Linked DNA regions of Drosophila melanogaster. The protein of the gene in region 3 interacts with the protein of the main gene of each other region in a pairwise test. Each region holds a gene or a part of one and is shown on either strand. Other genes may lie near its edges.

Region 1 (7,984 bases), on a different chromosome or scaffold from region 3:
AGTGCTTCGTTAGGGACATTGGCCAGGAGCTGGACAAACTGACGCGCCGACACGAGCGCATGTTCGTCAAGCGGCGGCGTCTGATGGAAATGGCCATACCCAGGCGACGCACCTGCCGCTTTGTGCCGAAATGCGCCTGCTCATTTCCCAAGTCCATCGAGATGGTGCGACCATGTGACGCCCAGAATCACACACGCACCGAGCAACTAGCTCTGCCCACGGTCCGTCGATTGCTTCACAGGCGGCGAACGGCCATTCTGGCGGGCGACTCAATTGGGGAGTCCATACTGAACAGATGGCTTCGCTACAGCTATCTATCGCTGTACAGTCGTCTCACGAATATCCAGCCGTTGGTTAAGCCGTAAGATAATATATCTATCTATCTTATGTTCATTCATTATTATTTATAAACCCATTATCCTTTGTGCTTGCAGGAAGAAAAAGAAGAAGAAGACGGAGAAGCAGCTGGCTAAGCACGAGAAGTACATCGAAAAGTTGGCGAAACCAAAGAAAGCACCAAAGGTCCCGAAACCGGTAAGTTAAAAAAAAAACTAAATTCAGCTAAAAACTGATGATAATCCCCCATTTCATTTAGGATCGTGGAGCTGGGGAGTTCGATCCCGTGCGTCTCAATCAGCTGGCCAGTCCCAAGGCCTATTTGGAGGAGATCAAACCCAAGTGGGAGCTGACCTCCCAGATGAAGGACTACAAGGCGACCAAGCGGATCAAGCAAATATCGCAGCCCGTCGTGCGCGATAATGTCCACATCAACGAGAATCCGGAGAAGGTCTCGCCCAATGCCCTTCGCTACAAGCGTAAGTACACATACTCCAATTTAGTTGATCTTTTAATAATGCAGCACCTGGCATTGCTTCACTTAGCGAGTGCCCGCATCAAGGAGATGTCCGAGCCACTTACCACGCGCGATGCCAACCAAGGACTGGCGGATGTCAAGGAGAATCCATTCGGTATCGCGCCAAACGCGCTCAAATACAAGGCGAGCACGCGGATCAAGGAGCTGGCGGAGCCCAAGGAGTTCGAGAACACGCATATCCGGGAGAATCCGTTTGCCATATCGCCGGCGGCTCTGAAGGCCAAAGCCTCGCCACGCCTCATCGAGTTGGCCAAGCCCAAGGGTGGATAATAATTGGAGACGGACGTGGACTGTGCGTCTGGATAATCATTACCGTCCTTATTGGTGTTCTAAGTTTTTCATTTCGGCTACATTTGGTATCGACTTTTCTAATAAATTTGTTTTTGGTTTTTTAAAAAACAACTAGAGCTTTTCCGGCTCTTTACGGGATTGGATTTCCTGTGAAAGTGGCGCCGGAGTTGGGAATAGCGATGAAATCTCCTTTGGCCTTTCATTCCAGTCAAAAAAAAGTTTGAGAAATATGTTTGGGTTTTTTTTTTTATCTTTTGTTTGTATTACTTAAAATTTAGACAGCTCGGAACTGACAATGGCTTTTAAATAATAATTAATTTAGATTTGAGTTTATTGTTATCTTTCTCACAGCTCCAGTGGAGTGGGTCCACTCAAAGCCATCCGTTATCAGTTAATTGGTTTAGCAATATCATTTGTTTTCGGTTTTTTTTTTTGTTTTGCTTTTCAACGGGTTAAACATAAAATATAATTCGACCGTAAATTAGCATCTTTGCGAAATCAAAAAGGGGGGGGGGGGGAAATAATACGTAAATAATTACAACATAATCAAGGATCGATGTATTACTGCCAATTGGTAAAACTAAAGAATTCGCAACTTTTGGATTCGGGGCGGGTCTGCAGGCGTTTCAATTGGACTAAACTTAAATATTCGCCGGAAATAATACTCAAATGAATGCACTGAAGACATCGGGACAAATAAAAAAAATTGGACGTAATAGGATAACTAAGAACTTTCAAGGTGTTTCTTTCAACAATTCAAAATTTAGCTGTGGCAACAACAGAAACTGTCTAATGTCGATTATATAAGCGCCAACGTTGTTGCCCATGATGTTGTAGACTTGCTGATCGCGATGCCGGCGATGACAGTGGTGCCCATCTAGGACATGTTCAGGATGATGGCGCGGGTAAAGTCCTGCGTGGTCGATTGTCCGCCCAGATCCTTAGTACGCACCTTGCCATCGTTCAGCACCTTGTTGATGGCATTCTGGATGATCTCGCCGTAGGTGGGCAGGTTGATGTGGCGCAACAGCTTCACGCCGCAGAGCAGCATGGCAGTGGGATTAGCCACGTTCTTGCCCACGGCCTCGGCGAAGGTGTGACGTGCACCCTGCAATCGGAAATCGGTATTAGAGATAAGAATAGTCTGAAGTGGATTCGCACAGCTAGGCTCGAGAACCGTGTAAATCACGATCTTATGGATTATCTTTATGTCTTTATGGCGAATCTTACCGGCTCAAAGACGACGGATTCCGAGGAGTAGGAGGCACCAGCAACGACACCAGCACCGCCCACGAGACCACTGGCCAGATTGTCCACAATGGCACCATAGAGATTGGGGGTGACCATCACGTCGAACTGGTTGGGATTGGAAACCATCTGCATGGTCGTGTTGTCCACGATCATCTTCTCAAACTGGATGCGCGGATAGAGCCGGGAAACCTCTTCGCAGGAGCGTAGGAAGAGACCGTCGCCCAACTTCATGATATTCGCCTTGTGCACGGCGGTGACCTTCTTGCGCTGATTCTTCGTCGCATAGTCGAAGGCGAACTTGGCAATGCGCATGGACTTTTTGGCGGTGATAATCTTCAGGCACTCCACAATGCCGGGCACCGACTCGTGCTCCAACGCCGAATACTCGCCCTCCGTCTGCTCGCGAATAATCACCGTGTCGATGTTGGTGTGGCGGGTCTTGACACCGGGCAAGCTGCGCACATGCACCACATTGGCGTAGAGGTCCAGGTCGTTGCGAAGCTTCATGTTAAGGGTCTGCAGGTCACCCACATTGCTGTAGTCGGGTGTGGCCAAAACGCCCTGAAGGAGCACATTGTTTAGATTTTATCACACTATTTTATTTTCTTGCAAACTTACCTTAATGCACACTTTGTTTTTCTGAATGGATGCCACCACATCCTCCAGTTTGGCACTAAGCACGGGATTGATTTCGGAAAGGAAGTAGCACTCGAAGTCCACGGGAACGCTGGCTGCCTGAACGACAAGATAAGATAATTATGCATATTGATTGGGCTTGAAAAGTTAAAGAATTTACATAGCATTTTTTAATTTAGTCGCACGTATGAACATGTATGTTCAGTTAAAACGGAAATCCCGAAATCTACTAAAATTTTCAAGTAGCAGCCACTTATCACATATCTTTACGATACAGATAAGTTTGATGTTTTGATTTATATAATAAAAACACTCGTGATCGGGAAAAATGGAAGTGTTATCAAATACAATGCGCTCTGTGAAGAGTGAAATATATTAATTAATTTTTAGAGCCCTGTGCTTTTTAAATCTAATAGATTCTAGAAATATGTACATAACTAACTAAACGCCGACTTGCTTAAAAAAAGCTTTTCTATTAAATAGGAAACCAAGCTGGCAATGATCCTAAGCTTAAATAACCTTTTTTTTAAGAGAGATCAAGAGACGCAAGAGTATAGATTTATAAGAATTAGGACGCATTGGAATACTGTATGTGAATGATTGCAACTTGATGGATGGTTAGCTACCTTGAAGACCTCCTGGAGGGAGTAGACCAGCTCGGGACCCACACCGTCGCCGGGAATCAGTGTGCAGGTGGTCCTGTTGGCGCCGTAGTTATCCTGCAAGACCAATTATTTTCCGGTTACAACTGGTGCCACTTAATAAGCGCATTTAACACTCACCGTAGCCCGTAGCGTCGACGTGGTGTGCAGACTACGTGCTGCCGCAGCCTAAAACGAGAAGAATGCAATGTAATCGTTAAGGCTGGCTAGGATTATAACCTCAAAAAAAAAAAAAAGAAACGTATAAGAACTAGGCCTCAGCGCAGAAATATTCGCACAGCGCGTCGCGAGCAAGTGTTTATGTAAGAGCTGCGGTTTGGATGGCCGTTTACCTGCATGAACGTCCGTCCAACTGTTCTCGCCAGCATCGACATTTTGCTATTCGGTTAGCTAGATCTTCCCGGCTGTTGATCCAAACTCAAAAGTGTGTCCTTTGGCCACGCGAAATTTTTGATTGCGATGTGATTTTTGCTCCGGTGCCAAACCGAAAAATTTCAATAGGACCAAATCGACCACGCAAACCAGCTGATTGCCTCTGACTACCAGGGCTGGCGATAGCCGCCCACGAAACTGGCGCGTCCAGTGCTGGCTAACGACCAACTATCGCGATTTTGGCGTTCGAAAATTAGTAACGAACATATACGATTATTTAAGGAATAAATTTGGCGGCAACCGCATAGTAACCTGTTTTTGAATACATTTGCCTTGCCTACCATGCTTTCTTTTCAGAACAGAGAAATTAAATTTAGCCAATGCATTTTATTTGAATTTTGACATTCAGCATACTTTTTAGTCAACTTATTTATTATATTAATTTTTTTCGCTAAATTAAACAACAAGTGGATGTTCTTTATGTTTATTTATGGCCTAATCACATTGTTCTTCAGAAACACAAAGCTTGCCAATTTCAGCTTTAGTAATATATCATATTCCATTCATGCCTTGGTATCGAATTTTTTACAAATCTTCCCAGAGTATTTATGTTTTGGATTTTATAATGATGGTTTCTATGTTTAATTTGTATAATTGAAGCTAAACAAAATGTTACAAATATATGTATATAAGTGCTATTTCGTTTCAACTGTGATCGCTAATTGGACAAATTACATATTGTTGGTAATCGTACCATCTTCTCCTGGACTAATAACAAATAGTAAGTGTATCATCTTGTTTCTGAAGGAAGGGGACACGGGACGTAGTCTACAAATACAATAGTCCGCTGGCAGCGGCGTGAGCCATCAAGGTGTTGGCCGCCTGCTGAGTCTCCAGCATGAGGCGAGCCTCCTTCATCCACTCGCCGGCAATCTTGCGCGATGCACCCTGCAGCAGATTCATGTACTTGAGCGCCTGCAGAAAGTCGCTGCGATCCACATGGTACCTGTGAAACATAATATATATAATATATATTATATAACTCTAGTGATAGATGAATCAATCGCCTCACCTGGCCCTGTTTAGGATATCGTAGGTGTCCAGTTTGCTATAGTCGAAGGGTTTGTTCTCGAGTTCGTCCTTGGATATGGGATTATCGGGTCGCAAGATGAACAGCGATTGCAGATAGGACAGGAAGTAGATGGGCAGGCCGGCTCCTTCCTCGGGCACCAAAGCCAATCGTCGCGCCACGCGCTCCACATTCAGGAAACGCTCGCGCAATGCATCTTCTGGATAGACACCGCGCTCCTGAGCCTCCTTCGGGACGCTTTCCAGCACAGCGGCCACCAGGTCGTCACCCTCTGTAAGCATATGCATTTAGCAACTGAAATCGAAATGTGGGAAACGTTTCAACTTACTAGCCACCTTGGCAATGGCATTGATCTCGTTCTTTAACGGGCGCAACCTATCCTTATAGTGCACGCCAGGAGTGGCAGCGCGCACGGAGGCCCACAGAGCTTGGCAGGCGGCCCAAAGGGCCTGCGCCTGATTGGCAGTACGCTCTGCATCCGCACGCTCTGCAAAAATGTTGCATATAATGTCAATAAACATTTTGATTAAACCAAGAATAAGTTGGTATAAGTACTACCCTTCATATAGGGTGAATATACCTTGAAACTCATCCTCTATCTCTAATATAGCAGCATGTTTTGAAAAGGTTTGAAAACCATTATATATCTAGCCACGCTACACTAGCTACATTCAACCGATATCGTTTAAAACGTATAACTTACCTGCCAGAGCCGCGTCCATTCCGCGCAGCTTGCCGAGCATCCCGGCCAATTGTAACTTATAGTTGGCCTTTTCGGTCGCCAGCTTATCCTCAAGTTCACGCTTAAAGCTTCGCGTCAGATCGGTCTCCCGCTGCGCCACGATGTCCTTTATATGATCGGCGTGGGCCTCTGCTTGCTTTTTGAGCTGCAAGCGCAGCAGCTTATCAGACTCGGCGTGGATGTGGAAGATTTTCTTTTGATTTTCCACGGCCAGTTTGCGCCGCTCGGCCTCCAAATGGTATTCCAGTTGGGCGCGCAAAGCCTCCGAATCGTTGTCACCGCGAACCGAGTCAATAGCTCTCTTCAGGCGCAGCTCACCATCGGTTTGCAAGCGCTGCAGCTCCTTCTGGTAGGCCAGGACATGGGTGTAGGCGTGCAGGATGAACAAGTCTAGGTCCTCCTTTGACAGATTAAGTTTCTTATCCGCCAAACTGAGGCCGGGGAAGATAGACTCGATCTCGTCAATGAAGTAGTTTCGCGCCTTCTCCACATTCCGCCAGTACTTGTCTGACACGCTGGCCGTGTCCTTGTGCCGGTAAAGCTCGTCCTTTACGTTGCCAATGTGGTCCACAAGCTTCTTGATCTTGTCGCGCACTGCCTCTACTTTCTTTGCGTTTTGGGCCGTTGCCGCAGCACTCAGGGCGATCTCGCAGGCGACTGCAGTTGATAGAAGGGAATGTTACTGAAATTTGGAATCTATTTAACAAACAATGGACTTACCAATCTTCTCCTGAGCCTCACGGGCAGCTCGCTCTGCCGTAGCCACTGCCGTATCACGGGCACTTGCTCGATTTTTCAGCGTGGTCCAAAGAGAGTTCTCTCCATTCTCTACGGCCTTGTCTACAACCTTACGGACATCGTCATTAAAGCTGAACGATATTTGATTAAATTTAAAATCACGCAACGAATAGTTAACGAGAATTGCTCACCCTTTCAAAACGCCAATAGCGACGTTGTACTCCTTGACGGCCAGTTGAGCAGACAGCTCGATGGCTTTCTCCAGCTCAACAACATCGCGGGGCAGCGGATTATCCTTAGGCTTGGCAGCGGGCGCAGGCGCTGCTGCTGCTGCTGGCTTCGACACTGGCTTCGCTTCAGTCTTGCTGACTTCGCTTGGTTTTGAGGGTCTCTTTTCCTCAGCAGGAGTGGCCTTCACGGGCTCCACTTTGGACTTCTTGGACTTGTCATCGCCGCTGCCGCCGCCAAACAGGCCCGTCACCTTAGATGTAACGGAGTCCACCGTGGACGTCACTGTCTCGATGCCAGACTTGACCTTATCGATCTGATCGTTGACGTTCTTGGTGATGCCCTTGAATGGCGGTTCCTCCTGCAGAGCCACCTTGATGACGGATCCTGCGCCGGGTACATTCTTCTCCACCAATTTGCGGAAGTCGTCGTCGTATCTGGAAAAGGATTTCTACATTATTCGATGGTTCATTTAAGCATTTCAGGTGCAATAAAATGTGTACGAATTTTTGTTGATCTACAGGTGGACTGCCTATCCTTATCTTAAACCTCTATTGTGGCTCTATTTACTTGGCGTAGGTGATGACACCGCCGACAGCTGCCAGTGGTGAGACGAAGAGGACCACTTTGCCGAAGCCAGCTTCGCGCATATGCGGTGGCAGGCTCTGGTATCCTTGATATCCTTGATCGCCTTGCTGTCCCTGCTCCTCCTGCTGCCGCCTGCCCTGTTCCCGGCCGCCACTTCCGCTGCTGCTTCCGCCGAATTGCCTGTTGTTTGCGGTCGTCTGCTGCAGCGTACGCTGTTGCAATGAAAGGTAATACATTTAGGACCATCACATTTAAGGAAATTGGCAAGCCCGTTGATACCCCCGCGCCCTTGGTCAACTGGAATTTTGGAGCTTTTCGCCCAATTCCTGGGCTTGGTAGATGACATAACCAGCGCCTCTTGTTGTATTTTCGCCAACCGCTTGTTTGTGGGCGCGCGGGGGTGTGGGGCAACGTGACGATCGATTTTCACGTTATCAAATAGCTAGAAATGAATGGGTCAAAAATTCACCTGCAGGGCGCACTTGCACTGATCTCGCACCGCTAGCCGATAC
Region 2 (7,851 bases), 6.6 Mb from region 3:
CCTTGATTCCGGCTCGCTGGGGCTGCTCAGACAGAGAACCAGCTAGTCTCGCATGTGGAGCAAGTCAGTCAGAAATACTTTAGCCATTGTTATTTAACCAAATGCGATTGTGTAAGCATCCTACTCTCTTGTTCTTTTGCTCCTGCTCTCGATTTCGTTTGTCACCATCCACAACGACAAATTGTACTGTACTCGTCCGCCTTTGTCTTACTTCCTCGTTTTTGTTTCTCACACTTTGTTCGCTGTGCGGTTCTGTTGCAAACTGTGTCAAGCCCATGTGCGCAGCTTAGCCATGACATTCCTGCTGTAATATTTCCTCCATTGTGCCCCAGCGTCCATGTCCACGTCACTTAATCTCTCTGTTCACCCGGCGGCTGTCATACATGTGCTCAGTCCAAGCCAACAGCCACGGAGCCTGCCCACCAGAAACTGCTCTAACGTATTGTCCTCTTTCCACAAAGACCATGATTCACGAGGGCGGACTGGTGCCTAAGACGTTGTACAAGATGAATTCGCTGGAGGATCACGACGACGAAGTGACCGCCGAGCTGCCCACCACTGCCGCGGCACAGGCTTTGGTTCCAGGCAAGCGCCTGTCTGCCAACCAGCAACACGATCATCGCAATCTGTACAAGAGTGTGGATCTCAAGGCCGGATTCGCGCACGAGCTGCTCATCCGGAACGAGGATCCCAAGAGTGTGCTCACCTGGGACTTCGATGTGATGCGCAACGATCTGCACTTTACGCTCTACCGGGTCACCCAGGAGCTTCCGGAAAAGAATGGTGAGTTAATAATGCACTTACAAAAGGTTTTCATGTTGCTTTTTGTTTTTCTTTTGTTCTGAGAACTGGTTTTGGTTTCAAAGGTGCGAATATCACGATGTTGTTGCCTCATTAGAAGTTGTTTTTGTTTACTTAGCACTTTTATAAAAACACAAAGCCACGATAAAAAGCGAAAAATGCGGAAAGTGGAAACTCTTACACCCTTTCGAAAAGAAAAGAAAATTTGTTGTCAGGCAACTTAAAAACAAATTAATAACGTTTGGCTTAAATTGAATAGTTTACTATTACAATTAAGTATTAAAACGTATGTTAATTTGTGTATATATTTATTTATATAAATTTCCAAGGTATCTGTTGCTAGGGCTCTATTAAATTGATAACGCGCGCATTTTGGTTCCGGTTTATTGATAGGGATTGCTTTTCATATGTGTTTTGATAATGTAGTAAAATACGAAAAAGTTGAACCTTATTTTATAAAGCTTTTTGTACTTTGAACCTTTTAATTAATTAACTTGATTAGCTTGACAGCTTACATATAATTAAATGCCCTTCGCCCACAGATTCCGCCGTCTCGTACTTTGATCTGCAGGACTTCGTCGAGGGCGTCAATTATTTCCGTGAGGAGCCAACGCTGATTTGCCGGCACAAGGAGAGCGTCCAGGGGTCGCACGTGATGCATCACAACGACAGCTATCTTATGCACTGGTTTAGTCCATCGGGTGCCCAGTTAAACGTCTTCTACGAGGTGCTCAGCTCGGCCAACTACAAGGGTTCGATGACCAGCCTGCAGTCGGCATTCTCATCGAACTCGTCGGCGGCCAGCTCGGTGCAGAGTCGATGATATGAGAAAGCCGGGGATGGCGGAACGAACGGCGCCGAATGGAGATCCCCGGCATTGGAGGAGCCCATAGCGGCGGACATTCTCACGGGCACCCTGATGGAGAAGAGCCTGAATCTATTTGAAACGCCGGACGTATTCTTTTAAGACCGAAAGTGGTAATATCTTGTGTTTTAGTTGTCTTTAGTTGTTTAGCAGAATGTTAGTTTGATTTTAAATTGTATTTAGCTCAAATAGGCCATTTATTTCCTTTTAAATTTATTATATTCATTCAATATATACAAGCATTCATATTATTGATAATCTTAAGAAAATTAGAAATATCAGCGGTTTAAATGAGCAACACCAAAATATCACGCAACGTTTTATTTGAATCGTCAATTTGAATTTTTCGTAAGCAGCTCTATAAATGAAGTTTTAATGCGTACATATATATGTAAAAGCGACGTAATTTTTATAGCTTTTTCTAATGGAACATTTTTTAGCAACAATTAAGGAACTTATTGCGATTGCGCAGCCACTGAAACGAAAATAGAAAAAATTGAAATTGTAATCAATAACTACGTGTTACCTAATTAGTTTAATAAACAAATTGCCGAAATGGCTTATTGCAAGGATTTTAGCCAGAACTTATACAAAAGAGTGAAATGTAAGATTTGAACTCGAAATACACACGTAGGTTATAGCTAGACGTCAGATTATAATTATAAATGTAAAATTGTATTTTAAACATTCGAATGCAGAACGTTTTTGATTGCACACTAATTACCCCGTCATTTGTACGCCCTTAATTGCTAATATCAATCAATCTCCAAAGTGTTTTTAAAATCAAAAAAGGCAACTTCAGTGTGTTTTTTTGGTTATTATTTATTGTATTAAAAACGAATTACTATGCGGATGTTTACAATTTAGTTTTATAAATAATCTGACGTGTATTGTAAGAATAAACTGACAAGCCAATAACGAAGGAAAAATGAGTGCATGTTAACTAAGTGTGTAAGTTGTATTAAGAACGTAATCAAATAAATGCTATTAGATCAATTACATGTACATATTCGCATTTTATTGTGGGCTCTTGAAAAAAATAAACTATTCAACAGTTTTAATTAAAATCAAATTTAGAATCCATGAAAATTGTATGGTATGGATATGGATGCTCTTTTCATATTTTAAATGTGGATTGTAATGTTTTTATATATATTGTAATGTTTTTATATAACAAAATAGATAAAATTAGACCAGCAAATGACTCGTTTCTGATAGAAAGAATATTCAAATTACGCGCCAGACCTACTATTCCAGCCCTGGCTACCTTGAGAAGGTCTGGCAACGCCCCCGCTAAAACATTTTGTGAAAACATTGAATTGTGATATTAAAGAAAATTAAACATGAAATTTATGTATATTATGTATAATAATTAAATAATTATATTATATAATAATTAACAGAATTTAAAAAACTTCACATTTTGTATTTATATAACACCGTTCTTTCTCATGGCTTAAGTCACGTCAAACTATGTTATCTTCAATGGTGAAAAACTGGGTTAAAATTGTTTGTTTATCGCGCTTGTTGTTGGCTGATGGCTGATAGGAAATTAAAGCAATGTTTGTGGCCGCTAAAAGATTCGAATTTCGCAGGCAGCACCCACCACCACCTGCACGGGCCGCCCTAATCCCGCATTCTCCTAGGGCCCGTATCTTATCCGCGGCGGATGCAAACCACTAAAAGGCTACTTGGCCATGAAGTGCGGATAAGCGGATTCCTTCTTATCGCCGCTGGCCATTGGACATTGGCTATTTTACCAATAATAGTTACGAGTGCCTGGACTTTCAAGCATTTCGCGCCTAGCATTCGAAGCAGCCAGACCAGTCGCTAGAATCGAACTCCAACATGGTTGCATTGAGCACAAAGTAAGTACCCCTGCCCCACAGCCCCATCGCCTCGACTGACGACCACAACGTCCACCAATCCAACATTCCAACAAGAGCCAGTTCTCTGGGCAATGGCGAGCGGAGTAGGCGATGGCGATGGTGGTGACCAAAACGGTCTGAACTCATTACTAACCGCACTGGGCGACTATTACAGCGGCCGCCGGGAGGAGAAGGCTGCAGCCAACATCTACGATGACAAACGGATCTTTCCCGACTTCCGTAGCGGACCTTTGGAAGAGTACCGTGAGCGGGCTAGCTTCTGCTACAAGCGCATGAACGTGGTGCTCGAGGGCGAGGATCACATACGGCTGAAGGTTCGTTACCATTTCCAGTTTGTTACATATGTACATGGTCAGCGGGGTCGAAGTGCAGACTGCCTCGATAGCTTTTGTCGGAGCTGCAGGCCGCCAACCGCCCGGTCTAATCGTCGCCCGTTTCTTATCTGCACACTTGAGTAATTCGTTTACATGTCACTCCGTCTTTAGCACAAGGTGTGGCAATGGATGGAACAGCACCCCGACTACCAGCGGGAGCCAGGATCCGATTTGGAACGCACCCGCGAAATGGCCAACAAGCGGCAGCATCTTCTGTGGGAGCAACAGTTCTACGGCGTCAACGAGGTAGGATGCGTTGCGTACTCCTGAAAGTGTGGCTGCCTAAATCTCCTGTCTTTCTTTCAGTATCTTGGAACCCCACATCTTCTGCTTGCTTTCGGACAGGCCATCTTTAGCTACGATTTCAGCACTTCGGTCAAGTTCGGCCTTTCAACTGGCATGTTCCCCAGCACGCTGGTCTCCAACGGATCTGGCCGCCTGGGCAAGTACGTGGCCAAGATCGCGGACAACCGCATTTTGGGCGCCTACGCTCTCACTGAGATTTCTCACGGCACCAACGCGCTCGGCATGCGCACCCGTGCCACCTACGATGTGAAAAGGCAGGAGTTTATCATCCACACGCCAGACTTCGAGGCGGCCAAGTGTTGGGTCGGTAATCTAGGCAAGACTTGCACGCACGCAATCGTCTACGCCCAGCTGTACGTGCCGGATGACAAGCACCAGGGCCTGCAGGCCTTCCTTGTTCCCATTCGGGACGAGCGTACATTGCTTCCATTCCCCGGCGTAACCGTCGGCGATATGGGCGAAAAGATCGGTCTCAATGGCATTGATAACGGGCAAGTACTTTCTTCTATCAGTTGATAAAACTAATCAACAGCAACAGAAATAATTTCGATTTGTTTGGCATTGCAGATTTGTGATGTTCAACCAGTATCGTATCCCTAAGGCAAATCTGCTGTCCAAGACCGGTGACATCGATGCGCAGGGAAACTACACCAGTAAAATTAAGGACGAGCGTAAGCGCCTTGGCGCCTCCTTGGGTGCCCTCTCCGTGGGTCGCGTCAATATCACTGCTATCACGTATGTGGCCTTGAGCAAGGCTGTGACAATTGCCACTCGCTATGCGGCCAGCAGACGCCAGTTTGGCCCTACCAACAGCCCGGCGGAGTGGCCCGTGATCGAGTATCAGTCACAGCAATACCGACTAATTCCCCACTTGGCCACCACAATCGCCTTGCGGGTGGCCACACTCTGGATAGGCAAAGAGAACGTGGATTTGACCATGAAGGGCTTCACTGGCGAGGACACGTCGCAAGCGGGCATGGAGATCCATGCGATCTCATCGGCACTCAAACCAGTTGCCACTTGGGCTGCCAGGGATGGCATCCAGGTATGAATGCTTTATATATGTATATAACCACTTTTACTTATCGGTTATATTGTTTTAATCTCAGGAATGCCGCGAGGCCTGTGGCGGTCATGGCTATCTTAAATCTTCTGGCTTGGGCGAACTTCGCAACGACAACGATGCCAACTGCACCTATGAGGGCGAGAACAACACGCTCATCCAGCAAGCGTCCAATTGGTTGATCAGTCTGCAACGCAACAATGCCGACTTCGTGGCAGTTTCCCCATTGGAGACAGTCTCCTTCCTGAAGGATATGGACACAATTCTGCAAAGCAAGGGTCAGGAGCGAACTCCTGCCGAAGTTTTGGATCCGCTCAGTGAGTATTTCTTAGTTATCCAAATATAAGATAGGAATAACGCAATTTTATTGCACTTCTATAGATCTACTTAATGCCCTCAACTGGCTTACCGTCTGGCAACTGGATACGACGGTGAAACGAGTTGAGGAACAGCAGCGCGAAGGAAAGGATGCCTTTGAGACGAGGAACAACATCCAGGTCTTTGCCGCCCAGAAGCTCTCCATTATCTACGGCGAGGTGAGATGCCAACCCTCTAAACCCCAACTAAATAGTAAAATAACCAAGTTTAATATTCTTTTAGCGCACCATCTACTACGTGTTTTATAAGTTTGTAATTGGTCTGCCCGACTCTGCTGAGAAGAAGGTACTGCAGCAGGTGCTCTCCTTCTATGGCGCCCACTTGGTCACAAAGTACTCCGCTGCTTTCTACCGCGGTGGTTACTTCCGCGAAAACTCTAACCAACTGGAGCTGTACGAACAGGGCATTCTGGCTCTGCTTCCCCTGCTGAAGAACGAAGCCATTGCTCTGGTGGATGCCATTGCTCCCACAGACTTTATTCTAAACTCTCCTCTGGGCATGAGCGATGGAAACGTAAGTGGTCTACCATAAGCAACTGCTACTCTTACTAAAGATTCTATCCTTTCGCAGGTCTACCAGCATCTGCAGCGCACGCTTGTCTCCACTCCAGGTGTCTACGAGCGTCCTCATTGGTGGCGTGATGTTACCTACAAGGATTACCTTAAGCGCGCCAAATTGTAGACTCACTGTAAAATCCCAAATAAGAAGACTTTACTCGTTGAGTTTTTGTAAGAAACTGATTTTATTTGGAAATATCTTCGGTTTAAATAGGTGACATGAGAATCGCATCTTAAAGTAAATGGCCTACGCAGAGGCCTAAGTAAATAGTCCCCGCCTTATCGAGGTCCCACGCTCGGGCACATCTGCCTATCTTGAGCGGCGAGGACCTTATCTGTGGTCTCCCACTAAGGGACTATTTTAGGAGGCGGGGAACGATCTCAAGTGACTGACTCATGTAGTGTGCACTTAAATTACATGTTTTTGAGCAATGCACCCATGTCGCCTTAGATAACAAAATCCTAAATATAATTTATCGCTCTCGATTCATTTACATAAGATATGAACGGAGCCCAAAATTGTAAGTCTTTAAATATATTCGTGTTCATGTGTGAACATTCTGCCAAAGGGCCAGCAAGCTGAGATGTACATTAGTATATTAGTTGCATTTATAACAGTAGTGGACTGTATTTATTTGATATATGTTCATTTATTTTGCAACTAAGATTTCAATGGGCCTAGTTTTTCTGGCTTTTAATTTTATTGGATTACAATTATGGTTTATATTATTTTTAATTCAACAATTTGTACTCAATTAACTTATTTTAAACATTTTGCTTTTTCTATGTAGAAGTACATTTTCTATTAAACAACGATATAGTGGACTGTATATTTTTATTTGTTATATTATTTTATTGTTTATTTACTATTGATATTTATAGTACTGGCAACGGACCTGCAAAGGTTATTGCTTGCATTCTTTGTTGCACAGCACATTTCCGTATGAAATATATTATTAATACTATCATTAGTATTAAAGCAATAATTAATCCAGCATGTCCGGAAATATGATGGAAATGTAAATCTTTCAATTTTTGATGGTTCTCTTTCATAAATTTAATTTCATTATTCAATCGTTCAAATTCCTCAGTATGATTTAATATTGATAGTTTCAGCGGATCCCAAATAATCTTCGGCGCTTCACTAATTTCTCCTATATAAGGTGTTGATAATAATTCTTCACTTTCGGACTGAATGTTATGGTGGGCAACTAGAATTTTATCGTCGGTTCTTGCCGTACAATATGGCGCAATGCTTAAAACTCCTTGCTGAGGCAAATCAAACAATTCAATTTGAGAGCCAGTACATTGCAGACGGACTTTTGAATTCGCAGGAACCTTAAACAACCAACTACTTTTCTTTTCTAACTCTACCCAGTAACTTTTAGAGTCGACTACTGTTTTATAGATGCAGTTCGCCGCTTTATCTGGCTTTAGAGGCTGAATCTCACATGCATTATCATTCGCTGAATTCCAGGGCCAACTTCCTTTGCATATTCTCTTATTTAGTTGCCATTTCTGACATTGATTTAATGTGGCTTCCGTCATTATGTGATAGGAATCTATCTCAAAATTATAAATTAAATATTCGGACGTTGTATGCACCATTATTATCCGA
Region 3 (6,829 bases):
CTTGCAACTCTGCAACACACTCCTTTTGGTGGCCTCGGCTGTTGGCAGGCTGAGCGCTGTCGTCATATCCACATCTTGCATTGGTGTCGAGACCACCGACTTCATCTCCACATCCATGTCCGGTTTTCCGCTCAGTTCCCTCCAAGCGGGCGCCGAAGTGGGCAGCGATACCTCCTTTTCGCCGGGCGTGGCCTCACGTACCAGTCGAGACTCGCCAGAGACGTTGGTCGGCTTCCGTGGCGTAGTAGTCAGGGGCGCCAGGGCACACTGGATGCCACTTCGGGCAGCCAAAGTCCGAAGACGACGGGCGCGCATCTGAAAGAATTAAAGAGGTTAGTTCACCAATTTAGCTGTTACCAATTAAAGTATATCATAGTTTAAAGTTCGTTTTCCTTTTACAAAATAGTTTACTTGTATTATTGATTTAGATAACTTTAAATATGATATTTTGTTGCTTCATTAAGTTTGCGAAAACGATATACCTCTTCTGCGGATAATTCGGTGACCACCACAGACTCGGCCGGCTGTTGCGGCTGCACATCGGGGTTGGGTTGCTCAGGCAGTTGCTGACCGGGTATCTCGCCCTGCGCTAACTGGGGCTGCTGATCCTGTTCGTGCTGATCCTGTTCGTGGTCCTGATCCTGATCCTGCTCCTGATCATCATCCTCCTCCTCCTCCATGGGCTTTTGTGGCGGCTCTTCTTCCGGCATTTCTCGGATCCGCTGGTACTCTGGGAAACAATGCGCAGTTGTGCTACCAAATCTGTTTTCGCCTCTCTCACTGTTTTTGTTTGTTTGTGGCGTAGTTTTTCCGCCGCTTCTTCTGATGCTGCTGCAAAATAAGAGGCGATGATGTGGGTTAATGAACCAAACAAAAGCACGCGCACTCGACAAATAAATAAAATAACAAATAAAGAGAAAATTAAAACAAAGTCCAGCGGTCAACGTCAAGTTCACGCGAAGACAATGCCGCCATCGCCAAAACCAGATGGATTGGCCGTTTCTCTTTGTGCTACGCAACTACGCACTAGATGGATGATGTGCAGCATAGCTGGGAGCATACCAGGACAACTGACCTGCCGCACACAGTCAGTGTGCGAATCAAAAGCGGACGCAGATCGGCCGAGGTTGACAAAAAGTGCACGGCTGCAACTATTTTTAGAAGAGGATTTCTCGAGCACTGGCGCTGCACTGCACCCAAAACAAGTGCAGTAAACAATATCATAACATATGCGGAATCGGATGGCGAAACCTTATATAATGTTTAGGGATAGCCGATCGAATAGGATCGGATCGGCACGGGATATCACCAGCTCATTTGCGCATTTGAGACGGCGGATAAAGTACACAAAATCGTGGGATATATAATCGGACATAGGTTCGATGTGAGGGTGTGTGAAATACGGAAAATCGAGGATTGCGCCGCACATATATTCGCACTTACCTGACTCTACGGACCGACTTTCACCTGCTGCAAAACGTATTGGTTGTGCTACGGCCCGTAACTATTGCATTTTACGGAACTCTATATGGTTTCGACAATTCACCCGAACAATTCCACGTCTGGTGGTGACCACGCAAAAAATTTCTCTTTTGTTCTGCGAGCTTCGTGGGGATTGGTTATCGGCCCTCGGCTGGCTATATCTATGTGGGGATCGCCCGAATGCGATCCGTATATCGACACAAATGCTTCACTGGCCAGGCGATGGGCTCAAGAAATACAGACCTCCGAACTTTCCTCCAATTGAATTACTTATAATTTTTGGGTTTCGCGTCAGTCGACGAACAGTGTTTCAGTTTGGTCTGGTGGCCGACAGTCACACTGGCCGCGGCGTGGTCACACTTAAAGATGGAATGTTCGCCGATAGTTGCTTTAACCCTTGCAGGGCCCTCATATTTTTATGATTTCATTATCGAATTTAAAATTTCGTTAAACATCCGAAAAGTTGTGAATCATTTGAATACTATTTGTAATTTTAAATTTGCACTTTTGTTTTTGCCTTTAATTGCAATAATGTTCTCTAAGCATCTATACCCAATTTATATATCCTTTTTGCTCTAAGAGAACTAGTTTGAAAATATCTGAAACTATTGTTTGTTTGTCGTTTGAAAATATTTAAATATCGCTGAATTACTAGGTGCGAACTGATTAACGATGGGAAATCAAAAATTAGGCCTACCAAAATGGTTATATTCCTCATGACACATAATGAAAAGCAAGTGTTGTTTAGTTATTTTTGTTCAACAAAAGAAAATCATTTACTTCATTTTACAAAAATGTTACAATTATGTGGAACCTAATTATGAACCTAATACCTAAGTAACCGCTACTAGAAATCCGTGTATCGCTGTCGCAGACTCTGCCTTTTGGCAACGTGATGCATCTGCAAAACACAAGCATTTGAATTACAAACTGGCATTATATGTGGTTTTAATTAGGATAAGGACTAACCAAGCGCTGCTGACGTCGTTCTCGATTCATTTCGTAGGCCTTGAGCAGCGAGGGGCACGTGCGCTTGATGAACTCCTCCGATTGCCAGAAGAGTCCGCCTTGGTTCTCGTAGCGCAGAAGGAATTCAACCTGCAAGGATATTAAGGTTATTAAATGATACCTACAATTGGGATAGAGGGCAAACTACATAAGATTCAGACTGTTTAAAAGTTTTCCTTCGCTTTACAAAGTAAAGAAAGCTGATCTTTGGCTTATTTATTTTGTAAAAGCAAAAGTCATATAGCAAACCTTTTCCAGCTTAGAATTTTTGTTTACTAAATATGATATGAATAAACCAACAATGTGTTGTAAATGAAACTGTAATCGAATTCATAGAAAATTTGTGAACCCTAAACCGTACTGATAGTTTATTGCTTTCGTATTGCAAACGTACCTTTCCCGCCTTGGTCTCCTTGCCCAGAATGCGTTCAATGCCATTCTCGGGCTTGATGCGTCTGAAGAAGTCCTCGTCGTTGTACTCGGTGACCACCTCCTCGCCGACTTCGTTTAGCATATCCTCGATGCTGAGCAGTCCATCCTGCAGCCGCTCGCCGTTCTGTTCGACGCGCTGCACGTATGTCAACGGGTGCTGCTTGAGGTAATCCTCCGCCTCGGCGATTGTCTTGGCCAGATCGAACTCCTCCTCCGCCTCCTCCTGCTCATCGTCATCGTTGTCCTCGTACTCACCGTCCAGCTCCATGCCATCACAGTTAGCGCCGCTGGGCGAGGAGGTTCGTTTGGTATGCATGGAGCGTCGCTTTCTTTTCATCCAGTTCCCGCCGTCGTTTTCCTTGACGTCCGGATGGAAGCGTACCTTCTTCACGCGCACGGACGACGAGGCGGAATCTGTTGTTTCGGGGGTGGACTGGCTGGGTGTCTGCTGCGACTCCAGCATGCTGCCGCTGATGCTACTAGAGGCGGACGTGGGTGTTGATGTGGATGTGGATGCTGATACGGAGGCGCCGGTGCTCTCCGCCAGCGTGGTTTCCTTGAGGTTCTGTGATATAAGCTTGACTTTCGTCTCGAAGGCAGTGCATGGAGATGTGGGCGATTTGCTGGCCGGATGTTCTGGTGGGGATTGACTGCTCTGCGGACTGTCGCCCTCGCCGCACGACCCCGCCGCAGCTTCAGTCTTGTGATCCGTCTGCTTGCCGGCTCCCTCCATCGAACCGGATTCCTTGTTAATCGATTCCGCAGCGGAATCCCTGCTGCAGTTGTCCAGATCTCCGACTGTGGAGTCTCCGTCGCCCGTCGTCGTTGTCTCCACCATCACACACTTGATTTGCATAGATTTGTCCAGCGAGTCACTGCCAGCCGAGTCATCATTGGACTTGGTATCCATGTGTTTGGGTGGCTCCGTGTTCTCTGCGTTGGCTCTCTATCGTTTTGCGGCTCTGCTAAAGTTCAATTTTAGCTAAATGCATCGCAATTCATTTGTAATCTTTCAACAAAACGGCTTTCTCAGTGTTACCGTACCGACAACTATGAAATATACCCTCAAATTTGCGTAGCTGACTTGGCAGCGATTGTGAAACGATTGGAATTGCAACAGGGAGCTAAATAGTATATATGATTTTATATTTTCTTTGGCTCTTTTGATTATTTGGAGAGTTATTATTTAAGTATCTCAGTAAGAGTAATCTGGAATAGCATTGCATATCCCTTTTTGATTATTATTATTTTTTCTTTAATTAAAAGAAAAAGAGTAAAATAATCTTTTGTTCCACATTCAATCGTTTCACAGAGTTGCCGTATCTTGAAAGTCACTTTTAAATTGATATACCGCTATACCGTTACGCAGGCTACCTTTCAAATTAAAATTCCGTTAAAAAAGAATGCTTGATTTTGATGTTTGATTTCAGTAAAGAAAAAAGAAAAATGTTGAAGTGCTTTCAATTTAATAGAAGTCAATGAACTATTTTGCATTATGATTTGAATTTTTAGAAACTACTTTTGGCGTTTAGATCTGAACCCAATTATTCGATTTCTTTTTTAAATAGAAGTACCAAACATACAGATAATCGGTCAATTGTAAATGCAACTTGTGTTGTTTTTATTTGATTTCTTTATTAACAATTGTTTTTGTACATTTTCTCTTTTGTAATTCAATGCCGTAAATCTTATTGTGTGTTTGTGTGGTGTGTGTAAGTGTTGCGTGTGGTTGTGTGCGCAGTAAACAAAACTAAGTTATTTACACTAGCTTTAAGTTTAAATGTAGTTCAATGTTAAGGACTATTTAATATATAATATATTGTGTGTATAGATATTCGTATCGATATAAGATGTATATATGCATATCAAAGGCGGTTTGCATTTATATCCAAGTTAGATTCTGTATACATATCGCTTGTTTGCGCTATATCTTCTGGTTTTGATTTGCTTTGTTTTCAAATGTTTCCTTGCATTAAGTTTAAACTATTTAAATATGGCCCCGCTATTCCACATGTGTTCTTTTTGTTTGCTTATAGTTTAATGATAACATTTTGTTTGTAGTGTTAACGCCTACACTGTGCTACAAAGACGCCGTTTGCTGGAAAACATTCGCACTAATGATGAGAACATAACTAATCCGTAGTAGAAACTAATTACTATTAACTAATTTTAAATGTGTGCTGCACTTGTACAAAATAATATTGCAAATATTGCAAAAAATTCCCTATTCTCTGTTGATTTTTCAATTGCATTTTAAATGTGTTTCTTTTTGTTTCTATAGTTTTTATTTTTGCAGCAGCTGTGTGTAAATATATATATATGTATAGATTTATATAGTATGTATATAGTACCATATTCATTGCATGATATACGCGCTCACTTTCTTATTTCTTTTTTTTTTTGCATTTACAATTATCAATAATCACAGTTCCCATTCGAAAAATTAAACGAATTATTTGTAGCAAGACATAATTTTGAATTTATCTCTTTTTCTCCTGTACAAAGTTGATTTCCTTGAAACGCTTTTGGATCTTGCTCGGATTGGGTTGGTTTTCCAATTTAATATATTAAGCCGATGGTAAATATATATATATAGGTTCTATATTAAAATGCCTTCTATAGTTATCTCTTTGATAAGTTACAATACGATTAGTTTAAATTACATTTTGCACCGTTCTAGCAAGTAATTACATTAAGAATTCCGGCTTATCCCATTTGCAAAGTATTCGAATAATGGTATTTCATTCCTTTTTTGTTTATAAATTATCGTTACTTAATTACCTTAGGTTCTAGAAAAAACGTAAAAGTGCAGGAACATGTTCCAACTAGGTGTGTATAAGTGGGTGTGTGTTAGTGACAATAGAAATCCCAAAACAGGTGCCTAAAACGAATCCCCAACTCCACTAACGCATACCCAAAAAAAAATATGGAAAAGCATAAGCAACAACAAAATATTAACAAAACCAAAACTCACTTAAATCGAAAAATAACCATAAGCTTAGTTGGATAAATTATGGATTAAATTAAATAAAAGGTTCGACCCTTGGATGTGGCCTACTTTCTGGAAATGACTTTGCCCGTCTGGGCATTGACCAGTATCATTTTTTCCGGTGTTGCGGGTCGCTCCTGGCCGGAGGTGGAAGTGGCGTCCTCCGACTGGTTGGCACTTCCCCGAAGGATCCTTCTGCGCAGGCGATCGCTGATATTCTCGCTCTTCTGGGACTCTGAATTGGCGCCCTCATCCTGGGAGAGCTTCACACTCAAGCCGCCATCGTTCTTGTACAGAATCAACTTTGTGCTGGACTTTTTGGCCGACGACTCCTCCATTCCCTCGACAGCTGGCTGTTCATCTGGGCCGCTGCTGCTTGGCTGCTGTTGCTGCTGCTGCTGCACATTGGCGTTCATCACATTGTCCTGGTTGTTGTTGTGCTCGGTCTGCTCCACCTTTGAGTCAGCGGTTTCTTCCGGTTCCCGCTCAACGCTGATCTCCAGCTGATCGTAGCAGGTAAAGAACTCCACGGACTTGAGCTTCTCACCAGCATTGAAATGCAGCGCCGTGTGCTCCTCCATTTCCGCCTCCTCATTGGCATTGTAATCACAATGGGCACATTTCTGGCAGTTCGGAGGTGGAGGATTTACGCAGGCGTGCTTCTGTAGATGCTGCATCAGCTCCTCGTGCTGCTGCGTCTCGAATGGACAGTGGAGGCAGCGTTCCGGTGCCGGAATGGACTGGGGCATGTCAACGGATCCTGCATCACTGCTGCCATCTGCGGCCAAATCACTGGTGGCCACCGAAGCGCTGGTCGACGGTGTGGAGCTGCTATGTCGCTCCTCGTCCTCCTCGGGGACTTCCGCCTCGTTTTTGTTAACGGATACTTTCAGGGGAAGTGGGACCATCTGACCACCG

The links. The genes of interacting proteins can lie anywhere in the genome.
Region 1: the proteins of CG9933 (region 3) and Idh3b interact in a two-hybrid assay, tested with the Drosophila melanogaster proteins (one large-scale study listed by BioGRID).
Region 2: the proteins of CG9933 (region 3) and Acox3 interact in a two-hybrid assay, tested with the Drosophila melanogaster proteins (one large-scale study listed by BioGRID).

The regions. Positions count from the first base shown.
Region 1 is NT_033777.3:22,014,946-22,022,929, forward strand, and holds Idh3b (isocitrate dehydrogenase 3b), read right to left. Parts: upstream 4,240-7,984; 5' UTR 4,089-4,239; coding exon 4,047-4,088; intron 3,883-4,046; coding exon 3,835-3,882; intron 3,772-3,834; coding exon 3,679-3,771; intron 3,152-3,678; coding exon 3,035-3,151; intron 2,978-3,034; coding exon 2,396-2,977; intron 2,274-2,395; coding exon 2,043-2,273; 3' UTR 1,446-2,042; downstream 1-1,445. Other genes in the region: Theg (testicular haploid expressed gene), read left to right, coding at 1-361, 435-534, 596-815, 882-1,144; mitofilin, read right to left, coding at 4,915-5,092, 5,159-5,447, 5,505-5,663, 5,757-5,777, 5,880-6,575, 6,639-6,787, 6,848-7,321, 7,455-7,684 and 1 more.
Region 2 is NT_033779.5:6,443,625-6,451,475, reverse strand, and holds Acox3 (Acyl-CoA oxidase 3), read left to right. Parts: upstream 1-3,613; 5' UTR 3,614-3,626; coding exon 3,627-3,869; intron 3,870-4,040; coding exon 4,041-4,175; intron 4,176-4,235; coding exon 4,236-4,726; intron 4,727-4,802; coding exon 4,803-5,280; intron 5,281-5,344; coding exon 5,345-5,615; intron 5,616-5,679; coding exon 5,680-5,834; intron 5,835-5,898; coding exon 5,899-6,189; intron 6,190-6,246; coding exon 6,247-6,357; 3' UTR 6,358-6,406; downstream 6,407-7,851. Other genes in the region: retm (real-time), read left to right, coding at 462-783, 1,344-1,624.
Region 3 is NT_033779.5:13,017,347-13,024,175, forward strand, and holds CG9933 (uncharacterized protein), read right to left. Parts: upstream 3,967-6,829; 5' UTR 3,833-3,966; coding exon 2,885-3,832; intron 2,581-2,884; coding exon 2,452-2,580; intron 2,384-2,451; coding exon 2,330-2,383; 3' UTR 2,229-2,329; downstream 1-2,228. Other genes in the region: Ube4B (ubiquitination factor E4B), read right to left, coding at 1-315, 483-710; CG9932 (uncharacterized protein), read right to left, coding at 5,977-6,829.